Linked DNA regions of Danio rerio. The protein of the gene in region 1 interacts with the protein of each later gene in a biochemical or structural test. Links are inferred from orthologs where the notes say so. Each region holds a gene or a part of one and is shown on either strand. Other genes may lie near its edges.

The links.
Region 2: the proteins of ago2 (region 1) and dicer1 form a complex in vitro, tested with the Homo sapiens proteins (2 studies listed by BioGRID and IntAct). The link is inferred for Danio rerio from reciprocal best matches to the Homo sapiens genes AGO2 and DICER1.
Region 3: the proteins of ago2 (region 1) and tnrc6ba form a complex in vitro, tested with the Homo sapiens proteins (3 studies listed by BioGRID and IntAct, with this or other methods). The link is inferred for Danio rerio from reciprocal best matches to the Homo sapiens genes AGO2 and TNRC6B.

Annotation. Positions count from the first base shown.
Region 1 is NC_133194.1:44,207,429-44,211,085, forward strand, and holds part of ago2 (protein argonaute-2), read left to right. Parts: intron 1-1,360; coding exon 1,361-1,497; intron 1,498-1,573; coding exon 1,574-1,708; intron 1,709-1,795; coding exon 1,796-1,883; intron 1,884-3,451; coding exon 3,452-3,599; intron 3,600-3,657.
Region 2 is NC_133192.1:20,754,908-20,758,664, reverse strand, and holds the start of dicer1 (endoribonuclease Dicer), read left to right. Parts: upstream 1-1,340; 5' UTR 1,341-1,637; intron 1,638-3,757. UniProt on the Homo sapiens protein: Double-stranded RNA (dsRNA) endoribonuclease playing a central role in short dsRNA-mediated post-transcriptional gene silencing.
Region 3 is NC_133187.1:20,949,967-20,953,623, forward strand, and holds part of tnrc6ba (trinucleotide repeat-containing gene 6B protein), read left to right. Parts: intron 1-30; coding exon 31-2,832; intron 2,833-2,984; coding exon 2,985-3,137; intron 3,138-3,266; coding exon 3,267-3,439; intron 3,440-3,533; coding exon 3,534-3,605; intron 3,606-3,657.

The DNA.
Region 1 (3,657 bases):
GAATCATTTGCTCCTTTGTTTTTTCGGGCTTCTCCTGTTTATCCATTTCTGAAAGAATCTGATGTCAGAAGCACTTCAGTAATCACACGCATGTTGTTATCATCAGCTCAAGAAGTTCGTTAATTCAAATATAAACGCGCATGCGAGGATCGCAAGCTCTCTAGAGAAAGTGAAACCGCTCGAGCTTTTAAACAACCTCGTAAAACAACAACAGGACACGGCAGATTTTGTTCTTTTTGGCTTTGTGGCTTATCAAGACATTCAGCTGTGCATCTGGCTCCGCCTTTTGGTACCCTTTTTTTTTTGCTAAGTACCCTAGGGTACCCAAAAATTTGTACAGTACGGTTCGCTTTTTGGTACCTTTTCGACAGTGAAAATGGCCATAAAAGCGCACCGCACCCTACCGTACCACTAAGTGAAAACTGGCCATTTATTTTTACCTCTGAGTTTACCTTTGGGCCACTCCAGACAATAGATGAACAGCAACTACTGTGGAGGTGGAGATAAAGATAGTAAGGTCCCATCTGAATGGTCAAATTTAGATAAATCACCACTGCATAAAATTGTGCGATTACTTGTATTGCATATCCTATTATCGCAATAACCATAATTTTGTGATATATAGTGCAACCCTACTCCATGATATATTTTTTTCATTTAGCAACTTAAATCTGAGTAAGTGTGCACTGACTTATTCTACATAACTGTTTACTTATTGAACTGTACATACCCACTGCATATGGGCATTTGTAATTATGTACACACCCACTATACATATACACTTGTAATCATGCTTATTTATCTGCATACTACTGATTATTAATAGCAACCTGCACATATATTCATATATTGTTACATATACACTTGTGATCATGTTTATCTATCCCTGTACATATATTCATATATTGTAACATATACACTTGTAATCAAGTTTATTTATCTGCACACTACTGATTATTAATAGCAACCTGCACATATATTCATATATTGTAACATATACACTTGTAATCATGTTTATCTATCTGCACACTACTGATTATTAATAGCAACCTGCACATATATTCATATATTGTAAATCTGTTCATAGCTTATCCAACCTGTATATAATGTTCATAGTACATCCATTCCATCTGTAAATATCACCATAGTTTTCTATAACTGCACTTTATAACTTATTCCTGTATCCTGCACTTGCTGCTATTGCACTGCTGGTTAGACCTAAACTGCATTTCGTTGCATTGTACTTGTACATGTGTAATGACAATAAAGTTGAATCTAATCTAATCTAATATCTCCATTTTGGGAGATCATCATCCACAATGCTGTTGTGGTGTTTTAAGTATTATTGCTGTTTCTACAGGTACACCCCAGTCGGACGTTCATTCTTCACTCCATCGGAGGGCTGCTCTAACCCTCTTGGTGGAGGAAGAGAAGTTTGGTTTGGTTTTCATCAGTCTGTTCGGCCATCACTCTGGAAGATGATGCTCAACATTGATGGTAAGATTGCACTGACCGTATTCGTTGGACTTGATTTTGCACTTTGCTAATGATTTCTCTGTATAATCGTTTTTAGTGTCTGCCACTGCGTTCTACAAAGCTCAACCCGTCATTGAATTCATGTGTGAGGTTTTGGATTTTAAAAGCATCGAAGAGCAGCAAAAGCCCTTAACAGATTCCCAAAGAGTGAAGTTTACCAAGGAGATCAAGGGTAATTTCTTACAGTGGTCATTGACATTTACAACGGCTTTTATGGAGTTTATTTTGGGATAATGTGAATTTTGCATTCATTTTACAGGTTTGAAGGTTGAAATTACTCACTGTGGACAAATGAAGAGGAAGTACAGAGTGTGTAATGTGACGAGAAGACCAGCCAGCCATCAAACGTAAGATTTGACGACACAATTTCTAACTTGCTGTAGTAAAGAATTTTTAGGACAACATACTTATTCAAAATTGTATTTCAATTGTATGAAAAGTTCTCTGATTTATATCCCAAAGCAGCTTAAGCAATCAATTAAATTTATATCAAGCAAGCAACACATGCACACACATAGATTTGGGGTGTAGCACATTTCCCACATGCCATATTTTAAACATTTCTAAACAATTTTTATACTTAAGTTTTTTTTTTTGACTATTTTCATTTTTTTTTTAAATGCATTTTATATTCCTTTTTTAAACTCCAATACTGGTCAGTTTAAAGGATTTAATGTAGATCAAGGGGAATTAAATGCATGTATAAAATGTTTGGAAAAGTTTTATTTAGAAATACTGGCTTATTTTACACTATTTCTGGACATCTAAACACCAGTGTCTTAACATGGTTTTAATCTCAGTACCATGGCCCCTCACTGTAACGTGGTTCAGCTATCGTGGCCTCACATTTTCGCAGATTTTTTATTTTCTTTTGTGCAATTTGACTTTTTTTTTTTATGCGTCCTGATTGGCTGTAGACCATTGTCAATCAATCTCCTTCATGTCTCCTGTACCGTACAGAATGCATTCAGCTTGACAAATTAACATAAATCTTTGATCGCTATCAGTGTGAGTTTTAACAAGGATGCCCCACAGCGCCTTGCATTTTAGAATTGTAAATATAGGTTTCTATCAGGGTTTATATAGGTTTCTCAAGCTCCCAGCGTCGCCCAGATATGACTCGGGACTGTTCATATTTTTGCCGTGGCACAGAGCGCCGTCTGAATAATTTAATTTTAAGTAACATGCAAATGTGCGTGTACTGTGTGCGTTACTTCCAACTGTCATGTGCGAGGCGCATCCGGTGTGCAATCCCCTTAAGAATGGAGTCTGCTTAAGTTTTTTGAATCAGTGACTGCACGAAAAAGAACATTACACTGGATGCCAACATTATCCGCACAAAAGCTAAAAAGCTTTATAAACGTTTTGCTAACAGTGATGAATGTTTGCGTCTGACAGCAGGTTTTGATCTTTGGTTTTATTCTATAACACTGAACTTATTTTTCTGGACTTTTTTTTTTTTTTTTTTACTTTGAGAGTGTTTAAACAAGAGAAAAGAGTGAAAATGCTAATTCCTGTCTGAGAAAAATGTGTAGTAAGGGATTTTACAGCCTTAAAGCATCTATAATAATTGTACAAAAAATAATAAAGCTGACTACAAGGATTTCGCCTGTTGAGAGTTATTTTTAGAATGCAACTCCCGCAAATAAAGAGGGACCTCTGTACACCCAAAAAATATTTTTGCTTCTTGTTCAAACTGCTTATTTAATATAAGCTGAAAAAACACTAAAAAAAGCAGGACAAATTTAATGCATTAAACTTGACGGATTTGTGTTGAGACCACATGGTTGAATTGTGTGGAACCATGCGTTTTGTATAGTGTATTCTATTTTTTGTCATCACATTTAATATTTCTCATTGAAAGATTCATTATTTTGAAGCTGATGTCTTTAAAATGTATTTTGTTTGTCTCTAGGTTTCCTTTGCAGCAAGAGAATGGTCAGACCATTGAATGCACTGTCGCCCAGTACTTCAAGGATAAGTACAAACTGGTGCTTCGATACCCACATCTCCCATGTTTACAAGTTGGTCAGGAGCAGAAACACACCTACCTTCCGTTGGAGGTTGGTTGAAACCACATCCTGGACTTGCTTTTCCCCCTTTTTCTCTCATTTCCTTTTC
Region 2 (3,757 bases), on another chromosome or scaffold:
TTAAAAGTAACCTAACCTGCCTAGATAACCTAATTAACCCAGTTAAACCTTTAAATGTCACTTTAAGCTGTAAGTGTCTTGAAAAATATCCAGTCAAATATCATGTACTGTCATCATGGCTAGATAAGATAAATCAGTTATTAGAAATGAGTTATTAAAATTATTATGTTTAGAAATGTGTTGAAAAAAATCTTCTCTCAGTTATATTATAAGTGAATATATTTTGAGTATTTCATCTTTATTGTTTTGAGACCCAGCGTTAAAATAAACCATGAATAAACAAACAATAAAAAGAAAACATAAGAAATAAAAAAATAAAACTCAAATAAAACACAAACTATAGGAACAAAGACTAACATATTCCGTTACAAACATGTCTGGGGTGAAATATGCATGAGAAAAGTTAAATAGGAAAAATTATTAAATTAGAAATTTAACTGGAATGACACAATATACACAGGCTACTTGTGAATATCAAACGAAAGACAGTACCAACAAACATTTAAAAATATCAACAGTCAGTGTTGGGGGTAATATATTACAAGTAATGCGATTTACGTAATAATATTATTTTTCCAAGTAACGAGTAAAGTAGTGCATTACTTGTTATAATATTTTATTTATTTTGAAAATGTAACACAAGTTACTTTTTATTGTAATTAATCAGCTTTAAAAATATTAAAATGCTGAATTAAAAGTGAAGTAGTCAAAATAAATTACACAATCAATGGGAGAATGCGTTCATTATTTTGAAAAGGAGACTGTCTTAACGGACAATGATACTTCAGAAAAATAGTACAAAAGTAGCAAACACATTGCTTTAAACTTTTGATAATCTGTATATACTGCATGCATAGCCCTGGCATAAGGAATTCTCAGAAAACATTATCCTAAAATATTTTTGATGTGTTTTTTAAAGGTAAATGTAGGTTTTACAGTGTGTTATTAATTACAGAGCTCCTCTATTTAAAAAAAAGATAGAAAAAAAAAGTTCTGAAAGAGATCAAGCCTCAGCCAGGTATTTAAAAGTTACGCAAAAATAACTCAGTAACGTAACACATTACTTAACTTACCATAAAAAATAACTAACGCAACTAGTTACTTTTGGGGAAATAACTCAATAATGTAATGCATTACGTTACTTAAAAGTAACTATCATCAAATTCTGCTATTTTAGTGTGAGTAAAAGCGCTACATTTTCTTCAAACATCCATACTGCCTACAAGTGCGACTTTTATTTTGAAGTAGCAGAATCTCTTTGGATTTGTTGTGTAGTTAGCAGTGCTCGCAGTTTCCGCGTTGTTTGCAGTAGCGGGCTTCACATGCGTGCAGTAGCCTGACAACAGCAGCAGCAGCAGGAGGGAATGGGGAGAGAGGGGCTCCGCACCGTTTAACAAGACACTCTTCAGCACAACACGACCATTAAAACAATTCACCATCGGTGAGCACTAGCCTCAATCTACAAGCACCTCCCGCGCTGATCGCTTATGTTTGTTTTTCCTCTCAGGATCTTGAAATAATCAATAAAATCAGCCGAAGCTAACACGAGCTCGCGTGCTAACCTCTGCCAGCCTAAAAACCGAACTGTCCGGTGTACATTTGGTTGGGAACTGTCCGTGCGTTCAACCTTTGACCGTGTAAATGCAATAACGTACGTGCTTCGTTACATGAGGGTTTTAAATGAGGTAAATCAATGTATGGTGTTTAATTCTTGCGTGACGATGCCTTTTTAGCTACACGCGTCTGCTAGCCTCAAACGTTAGAAGACTGATTCACATGGCAGGCGTATACTGAATATGAGCACAGTTTGAGATCTGGGGATGCACTTCATGTGTAATCAGAGATTAGCATTAGCGCAGAAGTCGCGTTAATGGTTGGCAAACTGACAGATGCATGATTTTTTTTGGAGGGGGGCTCGGGTGTGTTGCTGGCCAAGGCCAAGGTCGCGATGAGGCCTAACTGATTTGCATGATTAAAAATCTTTAGGGTATGGTGATATATTTAGATGCTTCTGTGATTGTTAAGGTGTTCATAGTGCCGTAAATATGTTGCTGGAGGGCATTGATTTTCATCTGCGTGGCATTTGTTTGTGTAAGAAGCATTATTGTTGTGTGTGGGGTACGTTAGTCTCGTATTGAAGTGTTTTCTTTTTATTTTAGAATCAAGTCAGTGTGGTATTAAAAGGGATAGTTCACCCTAAAAGGAAATTTATGTTGTTATTTGCTCATCCACTTTAGGTTTAGGACAAAACCTGTCCAACCCCAAAACAATTTACAAAGGAATGCTGAAAAAACTTAGTGAGGTGAAGTTGGTTTTGTATTCCTTCATTTTAATGGTTTCTGTATTGTTTGCCATGCTACTTTGAATATTCGATCTGAAATTGCATTTAAGTATGATTTTAAAACAACATTAGCACTATTTTATTGACGCATTTAAAGGGGATAGTTCACCCAAAAATGAAAATTATGTTGTCATTTGTTCATTTACATGTTCCAATCCAAATTCTTTAGTTGAACACAAACAAAGATACTAAAGAATGCTGAAATAACTTACTGAGGTAAAGTTGATTTTATATTCGTGCATTCGTTCATTTTAATTGTTCCTTTAATTGTTTACAACTCTATTTTGAATATTCGATCTGAAATTGCATTTAAGTGTGACTTTAAAACAACGTTAGCAATAGGGGTGTGCGATTTATTAAAATCGAATCGCAATTTGATAGAGGCTGCAATATAAAATGCATATGTAAACAAATAACATCTTCAAAACCAGTCCGCTATGCTTCAGAAGATTAAACATGCTAGCTAGACTTTCTGAGATGGTGTCATGAGGCATCACAAACATGGTATCGGTTAGAACTGCACGATTCTGGCTAAAATGAGAATCACATTTCTTTGCTTAAAATAAAGATCACGATTTTCTCACAATTTTGTAGATGTAAAATAAAGGTATGGTAAAAACAAACATATGGCACAACCTCAATAATAATATTATGTGTAGGTCTACTGGTTTATATAAATAATTCTATTCTATATTAATCTATTCTTATAATAATTCTTATGTTGAATGATTATGTTTGAGATATATGCTTGCAATCTGTCATATTAGACAATTTAATTCACTGGTAAAATCAGACATTTGCCATTATCAGATTTTATTAAAGAATATATAGGCTAGAGTAGTTATACTGACATTGTAAACATTTATTTTCATGCACAACTGTGAGTTCGCTATGAAAGAAAAAACATATCAAATGCTTGTCGTTATCATAACTCTAAAATGCGATATGATCATTAAATGAAGTGCACACTTTGTTTCATTTTGATTGCGAAGTGCTTGTTCATACTTTGCGCGCGGCTCCCAAACGATCACTCTGTGCCACAAACTGAATATTATTAAGAACTTTATTACCTGTTACTCGCAACATACGCAGGTTCTGTTGACTAAAGTAGACGCACCCCTCTCTGTGATAACAGCTTACGTCACGTATGATTTCCTGATCGTGAAAACATTATATTAAAACAAAAATAATATTTTTAGGTGAATAATACCTTATAAATACAGTATGTGACTCATTCAACATCATTTAGAGGTGTCAATGTCACTAAACAACGTTTGTGAAACGAGGAAAAGACTCGTGCAGCTTTTTCTTCTCTCCTGAACTTGAAAATATGATTGGCAGAATCGTAGAAATGCTGGATTAAGATCGTCTAGGGGGTTGAATCGAGATTGCGATCTATTAACGATTAATTGCGCA
Region 3 (3,657 bases), on another chromosome or scaffold:
GCATATCTTGAAGATTTTATTTTATTTCAGATCCAAGCCAGGGCCCTGTGGGTCCAGCTGCTCCCTCACTGCCCCATACGTCATCCGCCTCATCAATCGCTGCTTCTTCTTCTTCAAATTATGCAAATTCCATGTGGGGGACCAGCTCTGGCAGCCATCCCCTCTCTCAGGGCAGGGAAAAGGTGATAGTGGACCGGTCAGACCTGGAGGAATGGCCCAGTATTGCTGCTGGGGATGGATCAAAGTCAGGGGATGCAGCAGGTACAGGAGGTACAGACAGTGGTGCGATTCTGAACTGCAATGCCTCGTGGGGTGAGAGGCATCTCCAGCAGCAAGCGAAAGTTGTGGGAGGAGGGAACGGAAGGAAAGGAGTCAATTCTGGCAGTCCCTCTCCGCCCACATCCTCTGGATCACCCAATGAATGTATGCAGTCTGGTAGTGTTTGGGCTTCATCCTCCCATGAACTCATAGGGGGGAATGCAGTAGCAGCAGGCTCATTGCCCCCCATATCCAAAGCTGCCCCTCTCCCAGGGAGCTCTGATAGCTCCTTTGGTGTCAGCTGTGGGATTCCAGGTGCCAATTTTACCCCTAATGCCAATCCCTCTGCTTGGCCAGCCCTAGTACAGGAAGGGGCTGGGACAGTTGCAACAGAGGGTGGCTCCTCTTCCCTCCAAAGCTCATCTTTGTCTGCCAGCAACCCTCTTTCTGTGAATCAAGCCTCTCATCAGCACCAACTTCACCAAATGCAATCCAGAGACAGAGAGCCATCCTGTGGAGAATGGGGTGGCACAGCACTGGAACCAGGAGCAGGACCAAAAAACACTGGGGTGACAGAGGGGGCTGATATGGACTCTGGAAGCACAGGTGGAGGAGCAGGCTCTGCTTCGTCTTCCTCCTCCACCAGCTCATCATTGTGGAGAACTCAGCCTTTCCCTGCAAACTTCAAAACGGGTGCCTCAAGGACTGAATCTTGGGATGATGGAGCAGGAGGGAGCTCCTTGTCTGCTGAAGGTGGGAAGGCATGGGGATATCCCGGCCAGGACGATCGAGGAGATTTGACGGGGGCAGGTGCCTGGGGAACAGGAAGTGGGGGTCAGACCCCCGGGGTATCTCAGGGAGCGTGGGGTGGGGACCATTTGTTGGGTGGGGAATGGGGGGCATCCAGTGGTGTTGGAGGTGTCAGTGATCAAGGTGGGAAAGACGGCTCAAGCAGTAACAGCAGCAGTAGTGGTGGTAGTGTCAGCATCCCGACGACAACCTCCTCCACACCTTCAACTATGACAAGAGCTTGGGACAATCAGAAAGCAGTTGGGGATGTGGGAGCAGGAGATTTGAGTGAGTGGGGAGGCCAGGGTAGCAGAGGTGGGGAAGGTACCTCATCCTCCAGTGGTGGAGGAAACTCCAGAAGTGGCAATCAGCGCCATGGCCACCACCGCACTCATAAGCCTCCTGACCCTGAAGTGGCCTTACAGGATCTGCTTAGCCGGTCGGATCTGGACCCCAGAGTGCTGTCCAATACTGGTTGGGGTCAGACACAAATCCGTCAGAATGTGGCATGGGATTTGGAAGATGGAGGCAGAGCAAAAGCACCTGGTGGTGCAAATTCTTTGTCTATTGGTGCATCTGCTCATGCCCAGCCATACTCTGGTCCTAGTGGGAGCACAACTACTGATCCATCTTCCCCCTCTCTGCTCCAAGCTGCATCTCTAAATGCCAACTTAAACTCAAACTCCATCCTTGGACCACCCGCAGTTTCATCTGGTGAAGGTTGGGACAACAGTAGTAGCAACAGCAGTTCTTTGCATACCCGAGGCCCTCCACCCTCAGGTGTCAATATCCAAAACCCTAGCGTCTCACAATCTGGAGGTGGAGGAGGTAGCTCAGCTGGTGGGCAGGGCATGCCATCTGGGGGTTGGGGAGGGACTGCATCATCAGAAGGCCAAGTAAAGGGCTGGGAAAGCGAGGGACATGAGTGGCGAGAACGGCGAGCAGGAGGTTCGTCAGGTGGGTGGGGAGATTTCCAAACACAGGGTACTCCATCAACAGGAGGAAGTGGCTGGGGAGATAGTCAGGAGGAGAAAGGAACAAGATCAAGTGGATGGAAAGAAATGGGGAGGGTGGATGCAGGCAGCTGGGGACCGAGAGGTACCAGCGACTGGGGAGAAAAAGAGTCTAAATCGTGTAGTGGGGGGTGGGATGGAAAGGGTGGTGGAGGTACTAGTGGAGACTCAGAAGTGGGTACATGGGGTAATTGGGATGATGGAACTCCTGGAGGGACATGGGGAGGGGTGGGTGGAGACATGGGTGGAAAATCTCACCAAGGTTGGGGTGGGAAGATGCACCCTTCACAAATGCCAAACAGCCAATCAGCCTCACAGAAAGGCCCGGCACAGCAGCAGCAGCAACCACAATCACAGCCTCAGCAGTGTCAGTCAGTGGACACAGGGGCCATGCAAGGGGGCTGGGGAAGACCAGCAGGTCCTTCAGTCCAGAGCCAAAGTTCAGGGTGGAATTCAGGGCCTATACCCCAAATTTCCAATGGCCCTGGAGAGACTTCAGAGCCCAGCGGTTGGGAGGAGCCTTCTCCACAGTCCATCAGCAGGAAAATGGAAATTGATGATGGAACATCTGCTTGGGGTGACCCCAGCAACTACAACTACAAAAGTGTCAACTTGTGGGATAAAAACAATGCCCCATCTGGCCAGGCACAATCAGTGTCCCCTCAGCAGGGCCCCCCACCCCTGCAACAGCCGCCACCAGGAAGAATGCCAACAGGTCTTGGGAATAGGGACATGAACATTGCACATTCAGCAAGCAAGGGGCCAGGAATAGGTAAAAGACTTGTTTTATTCAAATTATAGTTTCATTTAACCATTGTCAAAACAGTTGAAATTCAGCATCAAACACCCAAACTAAAAAAAGGTCTCAGCATATCTTAAAAACAAATTAAAAAAAAAAAATTAATTCTTTTATTTATATTTTAGCTTCTGGGTGGGGAGGTCGTGGCTCTCCTTCCAGTCCTTGTGTGGACAATGGTACTTCAGCCTGGGGTAAACCTACTGAAGCTCCCACTGGTTGGGATGACAGTGGCAAGGCCTCAAGTTGGGGGGATCCCTCATCCAATCCAGTGAAGTCTGGTGAGTCTAGATTTTAAAATAATTGCGGTGGTTTTTTGATCACTTTCAATCGTGAATGTATTGATATTTCTGAACAGTTTAAAGGTAGATAGTAAAATTCTAAACAGTTTAATGTTGATATTTTTACAGGTTCAAAGTCTATGCAAGAAGGTTGGGTAGAAGGAGAGGGTTCAGTCAGTGCTTCGCGTAACCCTAGCTGGGAGGAGGAGGATGAGAGTGGTGGTGTTTGGAATAGTGCTGGTTCCCAAGGCAGCAGCTCTTCATATAATTCTGGAGGCTGGGGAGCCAAAAAGGGCAACAAGGTATGTCATTGGTCAGACTAGGGAACAATATTTATACAAATCTGGAAACTAATCAGGATCTTTATATCTGGTTAATACATTACATTTTTTTCAGGGCTCCTTGAAGGGTGCAGGAGATTCTTGGATGAACCCAATGTCAAGACAGTTTTCAAATATGGGAATTTTGGTAAGAACATTTAGTATTATATTGGTGTATAATGTGGCTCAAGTTAATAAAA